Linked DNA regions of Bombyx mori. The protein of the gene in region 1 interacts with the protein of each later gene in a pairwise test. Links are inferred from orthologs where the notes say so. Each region holds a gene or a part of one and is shown in the gene's direction. Other genes may lie near its edges.

Region 1 (4,431 bases):
CAAGGTGGATGGTGCATTTACATCGTAGATGTCTATGGGCTCCCGTAAGGTGGGCTGTGAGCTCGTCCACCCATCTAAGTAATAATAATAAAATATCATAATGTCACAGCTGAAAAAAAAACAACACAAAAAGCAATAAAACTGTACTTACGTGTACTTTCGTTTCTTGGGCTAATTTCGTCTCTAGTTCAGTTTTCATTCGGCTAGCCTTTAATTGTTGCTGTTCTTTTTCAATTTTATCTACAAACATTTGGTAGAATTAAAAAAGCACTTTATAATATATTCCTTGTTTATCTGAAAACATTTGTTTCAATTACCATCAAGTGTCTTGAAGAAATTGTCGATATTATCAATTAGCACGGCACACCAATCTTCTGATTCCATTGTGTATTATTATTTGGAAATTCGTACTTTAAGATAACGACAAAACTTTTGAAATATTTTGAAATTTGTTTTTTTTTTAAGAATTAGGTTTATGAAAGCAAAGGGAATATAGCCAATACGATTATAGAATTTGTAACAAAGATTAAAGTCATACCAGTCATGTGTCAAAAGTGAAAAGAAACAAAAAACAATAGTAAATATTCGAGGTTGCTTTATGGCGTATCCGAATAAAGCGACCCTAGCGCTCAGTATCGGCAAGTAGCGGAATTACACCAGCGTTGCCAAATGTACGGCAATTGCCGTTTCGTACGGCAATCACGCTTCTAAAAGACAAATTGTACGGCATACGGCAGAGTGGTCATTGCCGTATTCTAAAATACGGCAACAAGAGCATTTCTTTTATTATTTTTTAGTGCCATATACCTATTAGGTTAAGTCGGCTAACAAGAGCATAAAGTTAAAAAACAATTAATGTATCCAAAGAAATTACAGGACGTGGATACTTTTTGCGTAAACATGAACACATCCAGCTCTTATAATAGACAATGTTTCATGTTTGGTACGAGGAATTCCCTATAATCTACAACGCCTGCTCTTTAAGTCCTCTCCTCAAGTCGCCTCGCCGCCTCGCTCTTGTTTCATTGTTAGTACTAGCAAGCGTAGCTAGCTAGCAATTTTATCTTTTGAAAAAGTGCATGGTAGCGATACGTGAGATAGTGTATAAAATGTGTATAAAAAAGAATCTTCAATGCGTAAACCTAATCAAAACAAAACAAAGAAACCGCCTCTTAACATATACCATAAATGGAACATTATTACCAAAAGAGTGCATTGTCAGAAATCAACCAAACTGTGCGAACTATAAGCCAACCCCCGAAATGATCAATAAAATGAAAAAACCATCAAATTACGAAAAAAATGAAATTATTGAAACTGAACTTACTTTAGGCAATAATACAGATTTGATGGGAAGAGAGGAGTGAAAAATATATACTGTTTTAATTTCTAGTCTAAAATAAATAATAAAATACTTTTAATTGAAATTTGAAATTTTGAATTACTTTGTACGGCAATTTTTGTTTAAATACGGTAGATTTTTTTCTCCAGTACGGCAACCCAATGTTTGCCCAGCGGCAACACTGAATTACACTTAGTAGCCATTTTTGTGATGGCGGCTGATATTTATAGATCGTAGGGAGTGTTGTTTTTCAATAAATAAATGTGTTAAAATGGAGGAAACGAAAGTAATTTATTACATAGACGATGAAGAAACTCCGTATTTGGTTAAAATACCTATTTCACCCGAGAAAGTTACGTTATTAGACTTCAAAAATCAGTTAAACAGACCGAACTATAAATTTTTCTTTAAATCGATGGACGATGATTTTGGTGTTGTTAAAGAAGAAATAGTCGATGATAACGCTCATTTGCCGTGTTTTAATGGTCGTGTTGTGTCGTGGCTCGTATCCGCCGAGGGCTCGAACCCCTCAGACGGCGGCTCCCAGTGTACGGACAGTAACGCAGGCAAGACAAAACCAGCTCATGGAGCTCCAGCGGCGCCTCTCACGAGGGACACCTGTACGGATACGGACAGTACGATAAGCTCCCGACCGGGGCACAGAGCTTCCTGCGACAAATACAAATATAGGGGCCTCCGAATCAATGGACACTCGAAATTTGGCAATCATGGCCTAGAGTATGAGACTGCTTCGGTATTAAGCTCGGATTTAGACTCGACTAGCTTGTTTGACAGTCAATCTGAAATAACCAATACAACAGGTCGCCACACAAACGCTTCAGTAGACAGAGCACTAACAGAGTGTAGCAGTGTATCGCATCTTCAAGTGAGTTCGCGAAAACGACCTCAAAGACGGCGGAAAAGACCTCAAGTTATGTCCCGAACGTCATCGTACTCCTCGATCACGGACTCTACAATGTCTATGCACATTATCACTGTTACTTTAAATATGGACACAGTCAATTTTCTGGGGATCTCGATAGTGGGGCAGTCCAACAAGGGTGGGGATGGTGGAATTTACGTCGGAAGTATCATGAAGGGCGGTGCTGTGGCCCTAGACGGAAGAATAGAGCCCGGTGACATGATTCTGCAGGTAAGACTCATAATATTTACCTATCAACCATGACTATTAAAGTTGGCAAGATAAAGCTATCTAGAACTATGTAACAGAACTAGAACTCTGCTGGTAACAGGGAAACCTTTGTCAATGTTTGAAATTGTGATTATCATGGTGCTTATTCTTAATATTCTTGATTGTGCAAACACCTAAATGATAAAAGCTGGATAAAAACAAAACCTTAATGACCTTGTCATGGAGTGTAAGCTGGCTAAATTTCAACTGGGAGTTGCTATGGATTGATCAGATTTTAATTTAAATTTAAAATTAAGCTTGGTTAATCTAAAAGATAACAGGATTGATAAGAAACATTCACTAATAATCACTGAACAAAAGATTAAGATAAAAATAATGAACCTCTAAAAGGATAAATCTTATAATTTTGATGGAGTTATGTACTATTTAAGTAACAGGATGATATCTTAGCAAAGCCATCTTACAATGGCTATGTTATTCTCATTTTCTGTCAGCATTGTCCATGTTTTAGCTTACTTGCTTATAATGAATACTCTGAACCATAGAATTTGTCTTCATTTTACTTTAGCTTAACTTTTTTTCTTATTGCCATTAGCCCACATTATCTGAAATGTGCAACATGTCCTCTTGTCGTGAGGTGGGTCGCCTGTCCAACATTAACCTTCTATGTTTGTATCTTCATATATTTGCTGTAACTTGCCATTGGAAGGTGCCCTTAACAATTTCTTTTGTTGGTGTTTTTTACCGCATCCATTTTGGGTTCTTCTTTGTCTTGTGTCACTGATAGTGTGGTTGTGCTTATCATTTGATTGGTGTTGGTGGCAAGCTTCTCAACCTGTCACCACATTTCTCTGATGGCTGTCTCCTCGTTTAACTGCAGAAAATATCCACAAATATCATACCATACCATAATAAAGTAATTAGTAACGGTTAAGGTACAGACACTAATACCATTGTGATATAAAGATGTAGATGATGAGATCTTGAGATGCAGAAGTATATTGTATGATACAATACCAACTCTATAATAATATGAAATCTTAGTATTTTAAATACCTAAAAAGCAGATTGGAGTTTTTTGTATTGCTTAGATGCGTGGAGGAGCTCACAGCCCACCAATGTTTATTTGTGTTTTTTTATTAGGCACACAATACACATTACAAACTAAAAAGATCGCCCCTTCTGGCTGAGCCCTTGCTTGCTAACCTGTCCTTGTGAAACTAAAAAGGCCTCCTGGCCACCAGTAAACCCTAAATCATAAAAAAAAAAACTAAAATATATAATAAATACCATGTAAAAATCTGGTTTGTAACATAAGCCATGTGCGCACAACTAAACAAGACAAATGTGCAGAGTTTGTACACAATGTTCCTTGCAACTATTGCACAAATCAACACGATAACGAAAACTAATCTAACTTATAATGTCCCTGGCCCTCTAAGTGTTTCGGGTCCCCCCTCACATGTCGGTCTGGGGACCGGCGAGGGGGGCCTAATAAGACGACGTGCAAGCTGCTCTGCACGCGTTTTACGCAAGAGCATCCGGGTGATGGAAGGCCGGCTATCCTCGACCCACGCTGGTTCTGACCCAGCGGGGTATTCCGTAGGATAGCTCACTCTAACCGGCGCCATCTAGGCGGGCTCCGGATAGCCTGCCGATCGAGAGGGCTGGTGGGAGGGTGATGGGAGAGATGTGCTCCGCACTAAACGCTTCACTTTCCCCCCTTTGCCTCTTCATGAGTTCTGTCTCATGCGAGGTTTGGACGTTGGTTGTTGAGCGACAAGAGGTTTTAGTCAGTTCGACTCTGACATGCTCCGCCCTTTATCCCCAGTGGAGGGCGGAAGTCCGGCGATTTCCTCCTGACCAAAAAAAAAATTAAAATGAAATAGTTCCACTCACAATAAACATTAAACAGTACACTAAATAATCTATTATT
Region 2 (4,416 bases), on another chromosome or scaffold:
GTTCTGGTTCAATAAGTTATTTTGCAAGTTAACGAAAACCTGAAATAAGGTAAGTTTTAAAAAATCATAAAAAATTTAAGTATATTTAATTCATGAAACGTAAACCACCATTATCTATTAATTAAAATAAAAGTGTTAAACTTGTCATTTTACATATATCATTTTTAATAAATAAATAAAAAAACGTCTCAATACCCGGATCTAAAGGAAATATTTACATACGAAGGCGCAATAAAAATGCGTTCAATTCTTAAGGGTAGGGCGCACCATTCATTCGTTTGACGACTTCATTTGGTCGCGCGAAGTGAACTCGCGATAATGCGCTATTGTTTACCCTCCGATAGTGCGTTGTCCACTGCATGCGCTACACAGCGCGAGACCAAGACCGCTATACACTAATCAGCCCCGCTCGGATGATAACCGTTCCGCGCTCGACGCGCTGTCCCTTTCGCTCTCGAACGGGCGCCTTAAGCAAGAGAGCAATAGAAACATCACTCGTAAAAACAGGTAGTAGAAGAAATAATAATCATCTTTACGACTTCTCACTCTATTCAGCACCTTGTTACGATACTGAACGCTCATTGTGGCACGGTCGACGAGTGGCTGTAAAATCTTTTCTTTACTCGCCCGTTTCACTAATTGTACGTTTATGAGTTTACGACTTTTGCGGCTTAACTTTTTCGTTCTATTCATTTTTGAGGCTTTTGTTGAGGCTCTTCAAAAGTTTTGTTACGCGGTCGTCCGAAGATACATAAATTGTTAAAAGAAAACATATAGTTTATAATAGGATTTGATGTTATTGAGTTCTCTCTTAAGTCATATAAATGTCAGTTATTAACCTAGGTATTCTGAAGTAGAGCAGCTAAAGTTCTAGTTTGTTTGACGAACGTTCGCCACGTGCTCGAGTGGGTGTGATAAGGAAAGGAAAAGAGAGCGTAACTGATAATATTTATAGTGATTAGCGAAAAGGGGACGGAACAATAGTCGTTGGGCTGCGATGGTAGCAGTGAGCGCGGGGCGGCGCGCGTGTCTCAGCCGCGCTCAGTACATTGCGTGAGCCGCGTCGCGCCGGTCGCACACGACACACAGCCGCGCGCTCCCGCCACACGCGACGGAAAACTTCGCTCGCGACACAAGCCTCCGGCCCATACACCACCACGATCACTTCTGATTTCATACAGTGGAGACGCGCTCTCGGCTGACGTCCTGAGACGAGCCGGCGCCGCAGACGAAACCGCTTAAAAAGTCGTAAAACCCGCGGCACGCGCTCCCGAGTCGTAAAATAATCGTAAAAAGTAAACACACGTCAACTGGCCTTTATCGCCGACGAAGCCCATTATGACGCTTTAGTGACGTTTAAGAGGCAATAAAATTAATAAAAATAAATTACGTTGTCCGTATTTGGTGTGACATTGGCGGAGGTCGCGTTATCACGGCGCGCGGGGCCGCGATGACATAAGTGTTCCCTGAGTGACGTTAGTGCCTGTGACTGGTCACGATGAACTCTTACTTCGAGCAGGGTGGTTTTTACGGGGCCCATGGAGTGCACCAGGGCGGCGGTGGTGGAGACCAGTACCGCGGCTTCCCTCTGGGCCTCACGTATGCACAGCCACACGCTTTGCACCAGCCTCGTCCTCAGGATTCACCGTACGACGCGTCTGTCGCGGCGGCCTGCAAGCTCTATGCTGGAGAGCAGCAATATCCTAAAGCAGATTGTTCAAAGCCAGGCGGTGAGCAGCAGAATGGCTATGGTGGGAAAGAAGCCTGGGGCTCAGGTCTGGGAGCACTAGTGAGGCCGGCAGCATGCACTCCTGAAGCTCGATACAGTGAGTCGTCAAGTCCTGGTAGAGCGCTTCCGTGGGGCAACCAGTGTGCACTTCCGGGATCAGCAGCATCAGCCGCGCAGCCAGTGCACCAGCAGCCTACTAACCACACTTTCTACCCTTGGATGGCCATAGCAGGTTAGTAAGTTAAAAAAAATTATCTCGATCACAACTCTATATAAATTGAATATGCAATTTCGAAAAGGGCACACCTCTGAAAATGTAAAATGTTCAGGAAATGAAAAAAAACTGATTATTTTCTAAAGCAGTGTAAAATTTAAAATATTAACTTTTGAAATATATTTTAAGTGTTAATTAGCAATTGAAAATTACGGGAATTATTATAAAATGGGTGTAGGTAAGCCTCAAAACTACATGTATATGAAAAAACGTATTTGACAAAATATGCGACATGTGCCCTTTTCGAAATTGCATATTCGATTGAAGTGTATTATTGCGATCGTAGGTGCAGTTTTTTTTTTGATAAAATTAATTGCCGAAGTCTCTACCTATTAATATTGTATATTACATATTTGTTTACAAATATCACTGAAATTTATGATTCTATATTTAAAAATATATTGCGTTTCCCATAAAAAACTCGTCAACATTTAATATACATAAGTGGAAATGAGAGGCGTAACAAAAATATGTCACGTCCGATACCCCGTAAAAATCACTAAAATGCTGCCATCCTGTTTGGCACACATAATCGGGCCACTTCAGAATCGTCCATTAATGTTTCCTAAGAGTCCAATACTAACCGGCAGGTAGCCGACAAATCAAGTGTCAATAAAAAGCACATAAAACGAACGACCCTCGTTAACACCTTATTAGTGAGACAGATTTGAGTACCATTAATAATTTTATTGCGGACAAAACTCAGGATCCTCCAAATTACTAATTTGTAACGATAAATTGATATCAGTGATTTGATCATAAAATCTTTGGTGTAGACTTCCTGAATGTTGATGGTTCGTAGCAACGGAACTGGTATATAAATTATAGAGCTATGGAACTGGATTATTTGAAATAAAGTTCTCGTGTCTTAAAATTTTTTTTGGAACAAAACTAACAAGGTTTGTGAATTAAAATACGATTTAATCTTGGACTGGACTATACGGAGATTTAGCAGAACATATTATACCTACTTTTTTTACCGGACGACAAAACACTAAAATATTTCGAGAGAATGTAAAATAAAGAGACAAATATGTTGTCGATATTTACTTGTGTTCTCTTTTCTGACCCATAACAATTTAAATTAATTTTATAAATACATTAATAAAGCTAAGAAATAAAATAAAATAAAAGTTATTTATTATTAAAAGTTGTATATTTATTTTATTACTATCTAAAAATAAATAAAACGTTTAACAATCCTTCAATACTTAACACATACTTTAAGATGAAATTTTTCAGGTTCAAAATTGATTGTGTAGGCATAAAGTAAAGCAAAAAGCGCTATTTTAGTGGCCCAACGAGGCAGGAGAGGTGCGCCCGCGCCGCCCGCCCGGGTCAATGGCCCGGTCTAGTTTTGGGCGCATTATTATTAACTTACTGCCACTGACCATTCGACAAATGACCATCCCATTAAGAGCGCTTCAATCTTCAAACATACGTTTCGGTAAACATTCAATTCATGCACTTAAAAGATAAAATAACGCTTTAAAAATGTTTTACAAAATATCTAATACGGCATATTAGTTGGTATAGATTAGAATTTAAGTCTTATAAGAATCGATTCTCTCTCATTCGTAGTAGTTTTTCTGGAAAAGAAGTCCTATTCGAATTTCGATTGAATCGATTAGTTCACCTGGGCCGGCGACGAGTAATTAATGCTACGCGTGTGGTCCCGCCTCGTCATAATTCATGCGACTTGATAAAAATTAAGTAACAGGGCCTAAAAAATAACAAAATAAAATGAGAAGTCGAACCGTCGGCTATAATTCACTGTGGGTTCACGCAACACAGGCCGCGAAACAATACAAGGACGCTTGTTGGACGTGGCATGTATGAAAAGTTCGGGCTTGTCCATGAACGGTCCCTGCTGTTCATTTGGACAGTTTGCTAATTTGTAATACCTGTAAAGTAAACCTTTTTTGGTATAAATACCTAAAACATAGGTAATTTGGTATAAATTCCTATAAATATAGAAAGAAAAAAAAATTGTGGAGCTGTAAATGTAACTAATTTAGTGAAGCAAACGATAAATACGGTATAAGTTGAAGCTCGAAATTGCAATCACATGCTCCCGATCTTACTGCTATATAATTGAGGACTTAAATTACAGGGCCGTGGACTTCTTTTTTTTAAATTTGTTACAAGCGGTTTTTAAATGGAACAAAATAAAAACAAGAAAAATTATTTGGTGGAATAATTTTCATTTTCAATCATACGACAATTATTATGACCCTTCAAACAGCGACTTGAATCTTTCTCTTCTTACTTGGTGCACATTCGTTCTGTAGAGGCTTTTACACATTCCGATTCTTCAAAACTTGATATTGAAAAATATCAATTACATATAGCAGATTATTTTACCTTATTACTGTACAAAAACAGAAATACTGTCAAAATTCCTAGTACATAT
Region 3 (3,652 bases), on another chromosome or scaffold:
AATTATACAAAGGACAGCGACCTAGTTTCCATTACATACTTCTCCATAAAGTTTGTACTGAGGGGTTAGAACGCGTAGATGCAACGAGTCTGGTAAGCTCCCTCGTTCGGGAAGACCTCGTGCGTCGCTGTGTAGACGTGGCCGATCCCACAGACAGGTTCCGGTGTAATTAAAAAAAAAACCCAATGTTCTTTGTATGGTACAAAATTCACACAATAATACAGTAGGTGCTTGTTGAATAAAACAGTTCATTCGATTGTAACGTTATAAATGAATTTCTTAAGCGACATTTTCAGACTTGTAGGTAATTGTTAAGTGAACGCCCTGTACTCGTCGACTCGCAACACATCGGTTTATTTATTTGTTTACACAAATATTTATTATACATTTTATGGTGACTGATTGAAAAATATTACAGTTTCAATTTGTCATTATATTTTCTTTTAATCAATGCGGGAGTGAAATCGTTTCGCTTTTTGCAAGTTTAATATTGGAGACATTTAAGAGATATGTACAAATTACAAGAAATTAAACAAAATATTAATTTATGGAAATGAGAGAAGTTGCACGTCGAGTGCTGGAGGCGGGGCGGCGGCCGAGCGCGCAACTTCACGTATCGTTACATAAGCCGATATCGATAAACAGAAACCATTGTTGCGCATTTGATGGTTTTTTTTTTGTCATTTACGTAATTGCTTACTCTTGGAGCTGCGCGTTAGAACAGTTAACGAAGGAAGCATGTGGTGGCGCAGGGGTACCGCATGGAGTGTCCCCCGGGCTGCCCGGCGCCCGTCTACGAGCTCATGCGCGGCTGCTGGCAGTGGAGCCCCTCCGAGCGGCCCTCCTTCCGCGAGATACACCACGCGCTCGAGCACATGTTCCAGGACAACTCGATCACAGACGGTGAGCGCCTCGTTACGCAACATGTACTCGTACTAACAGCGAGCGGCTGCTATAGATGTCAACGGTGTGTTTCAGAAGTAGAGAAACAACTCCAAGAAGGCAGCGGCGCGCAGGCCGCCGGCACCCCGCTGCTGTCGCTGAAGAAGACGAGCGCCGACCCTCGAGCGGTGCAGATGCGGCGCCCGACCAACCGCCGCGGCAAGCAAGCCCCCACCCCTCCCAAACGCACTAGGTAGCGCACCCGACCACAAGTAACTGAACACGACCCCCGCCACTCATCGACATACTCATCGACCGCGTGTTGCAGCCTGCTGTCCTCGTGCAGCTCCTTCCGCGAGTCGCAGTACGCCGCCGACGAGCACGCGCCCGACGACGCGCCCGCCGACGCGCTCGCCGACCTCAACGGTCAGTGTCTCACGCAGCGTCACGCGCCGTCACGCACTCCAACAACCGATATAGTGCAATAGTACGCCTCCGCTGTACACGGAGGATATTCATTACGGAATGAAGCGGCCATCGCTTTGTTTGTTTTTAGGTTCCATGTTAAAACTCATACCCGGCTTACTTGACGCTATAACGTTATTCGTCTAAATGACGCACTACAAGTATACCGACGCGACCCACGCGACCCACGTGACCCACGTGACCCACGCGACCGAGGGCGACTTTGTAGTGCGGTACTTACGCACATAGCTCAAGTCTTTTTTTTATTTTTGAAGATTGAATATTTTGGCACTTTGTACGACTGCCAGTCTAGTTCACAGAATAATGGTCCTCACACTAAAAGACGCAGGTATTGTGCATAATGGTCAGTTCATTCAGAATCTTCTTGACGGCAATGTATAAATAATATTAGATGCGGTTTAACTTACATACGTTTTTTAAATTTTATATTTATTTTAAAAATTATATAATTTCTAAAATGAAATTGACAAAAAGAACAAAAATACAACAAACCGCACGCAGCTCGAGATAGGGATCAGAGACCTTCATGGAAATGTTCTTCAAATTTGTAAGAAGAGTACTCATGTTTGTTAAAAGTGTACACACCGTCAATTATGCTTTTTGTTATAATATTTTTATGTACAAAAAACTAAAGTCAAATGTCCTCAATGTCTGTACGTATTGTACCATAACTCAATCTTCGGAAGTAAGATAGAATATAAGACGAGTAGGCTCTGAGGCCGCGCGCCGGCGACACACTGCTCTAAGATACTGTTTTCTGTTTGCCGTGTCTCGGTGCAGCGGCCTAGCGCTCGGAGCCCGCGCTCTGTAAGTATTCCACGGCACCTGCTGCTCTAGCCCTATCCCTGCTTAGTGTAAGATGTAGCTCCTCACACTCGAGTCTGTGTCGGCACCGCGCCGCGACCTAGTCTGCATGCTCCGTCCGGCGTGCAGTAGGAAGGAACGAGCGCCGCCGAGCCGTCCACGGGTCGTCAACAATGAAATTTGTAGCATCGCCAACATTAACAGCCTGCTAGCTGGCATCGGCGCAGTATTTTGACGCTTAGTTTTTTAATTTTTTCATCGAACAGTCACGTATGCTCCCTGTATATTCGTACATATGTACTAAATCAATATTGAGATGTTTGATTGTGATGTGAGTAATGAGTCTAAAAGGGTTCTATACATCATTAAGGTCGTACATGACTCCATCCTGTCTGTGAAACTGAAACAACTTCGACCCGGCTGTAATCCCTCCATCCTTAAAAAAAAGACTAGGCTCTCAATGCTACGCAGGAGACAGTATCTTTGTATGCCAAAAGAAAAGTCCACTGTCTGTCTGACGCCAACAGAATAAAAAACAGATTAGATAAAACAAAAATAACCTTACTTAAAATGACAATATCTGGAAATTTTGAATATATCATTTGACACTAATAAATACATATAAACATTACTGATATTTAAGTTAGGTCCGCTTCTTGACATTGTCTCAAACTGCTGGCACAATAATAATTCACTTAACTGTAGATTATAATTCAAAATTTTAAGTTAGATACAAAATGAGGAAGCGTAGGTATATTGCAACACGGAGCTGCGTTGTTATACGCGAACATTGAGGAACCGAGAGTAAAGGATCACTCTCATCCGCTCTGTCGTTGTCACGTTGTAATTGTTATGGATACTGGTGACGCTATTTGTGACAACCTGGGCGACTTAGACTTCCCACGTGTTCTCACAGCAGTTGAAGTGAATCTACTCGGCCTACTCGCAAAGAAAAATAATAAGAAAATAAAAAACAAGTAGCAGTATGACTCACCACCAAGTGTCTGCACTGATAACCCTAATGCTATCAAACTGACTAAGTGTAGGGAGGGTGGTCTAGTCCCCGTGTGCCAGCTCGAGCAACTGGCTAACGAATCGACTACTGCGCGATAAACGCACGGTACCAACCCACTCGACTGCGCCCCGCATCCTCTGAGTCTAGCCCTCTACGTGACATTTTTTTTGTGATTTTGTCAGCTGCTTAGCAAGAACAACTTGAGTTCCGACAATGCTAATGTTAGTGGACTGCGTCGACGCTGCGAAACTGGCAAACATTGTGCATTTTTCTACAAATTTCATAGTTGACGAATAGTATTTTACTTGATCTGTTCATTTTATAGTTTTCCTGATTTGGGATAGTTTAGTTTAGATTTGGTGAAATAGTGAAGTTATAATCCTTTTTATATTTTTCCCTCAATATAAATAATTACGTGACTTGAAAATAGCATGCATTAATTTTTGTACCTACTTCCAAAGACAA

What was found.
Region 2: the proteins of segment polarity protein dishevelled (region 1) and Ubx interact in a two-hybrid assay, tested with the Drosophila melanogaster proteins (2 studies listed by BioGRID). The link is inferred for Bombyx mori from reciprocal best matches to the Drosophila melanogaster genes dsh and Ubx.
Region 3: the proteins of segment polarity protein dishevelled (region 1) and tyrosine-protein kinase Abl interact in binary tests that used the Drosophila melanogaster proteins (3 or more experiments, as listed by UniProt). The link is inferred for Bombyx mori from reciprocal best matches to the Drosophila melanogaster genes dsh and Abl.

The regions. Positions count from the first base shown.
Region 1 is NC_085130.1:18,594,908-18,599,338, reverse strand, and holds the start of segment polarity protein dishevelled, read left to right. Parts: upstream 1-1,522; 5' UTR 1,523-1,613; coding exon 1,614-2,495; intron 2,496-4,431. Other genes in the region: uncharacterized protein LOC101735736, read right to left, coding at 152-240, 318-384.
Region 2 is NC_085112.1:6,103,864-6,108,279, reverse strand, and holds the start of Ubx (ultrabithorax), read left to right. Parts: upstream 1-1,498; coding exon 1,499-1,961; intron 1,962-4,416. UniProt on the Drosophila melanogaster protein: Sequence-specific transcription factor which is part of a developmental regulatory system that provides cells with specific positional identities on the anterior-posterior axis. Binds the consensus region 5'-TTAAT[GT][GA]-3'.
Region 3 is NC_085107.1:86,098-89,749, reverse strand, and holds part of tyrosine-protein kinase Abl, read left to right. Parts: intron 1-752; coding exon 753-903; intron 904-978; coding exon 979-1,135; intron 1,136-1,210; coding exon 1,211-1,308; intron 1,309-3,652. UniProt on the Drosophila melanogaster protein: Arm and Abl proteins function cooperatively at adherens junctions in both the CNS and epidermis; critical for embryonic epithelial morphogenesis regulating cell shape changes and cell migration.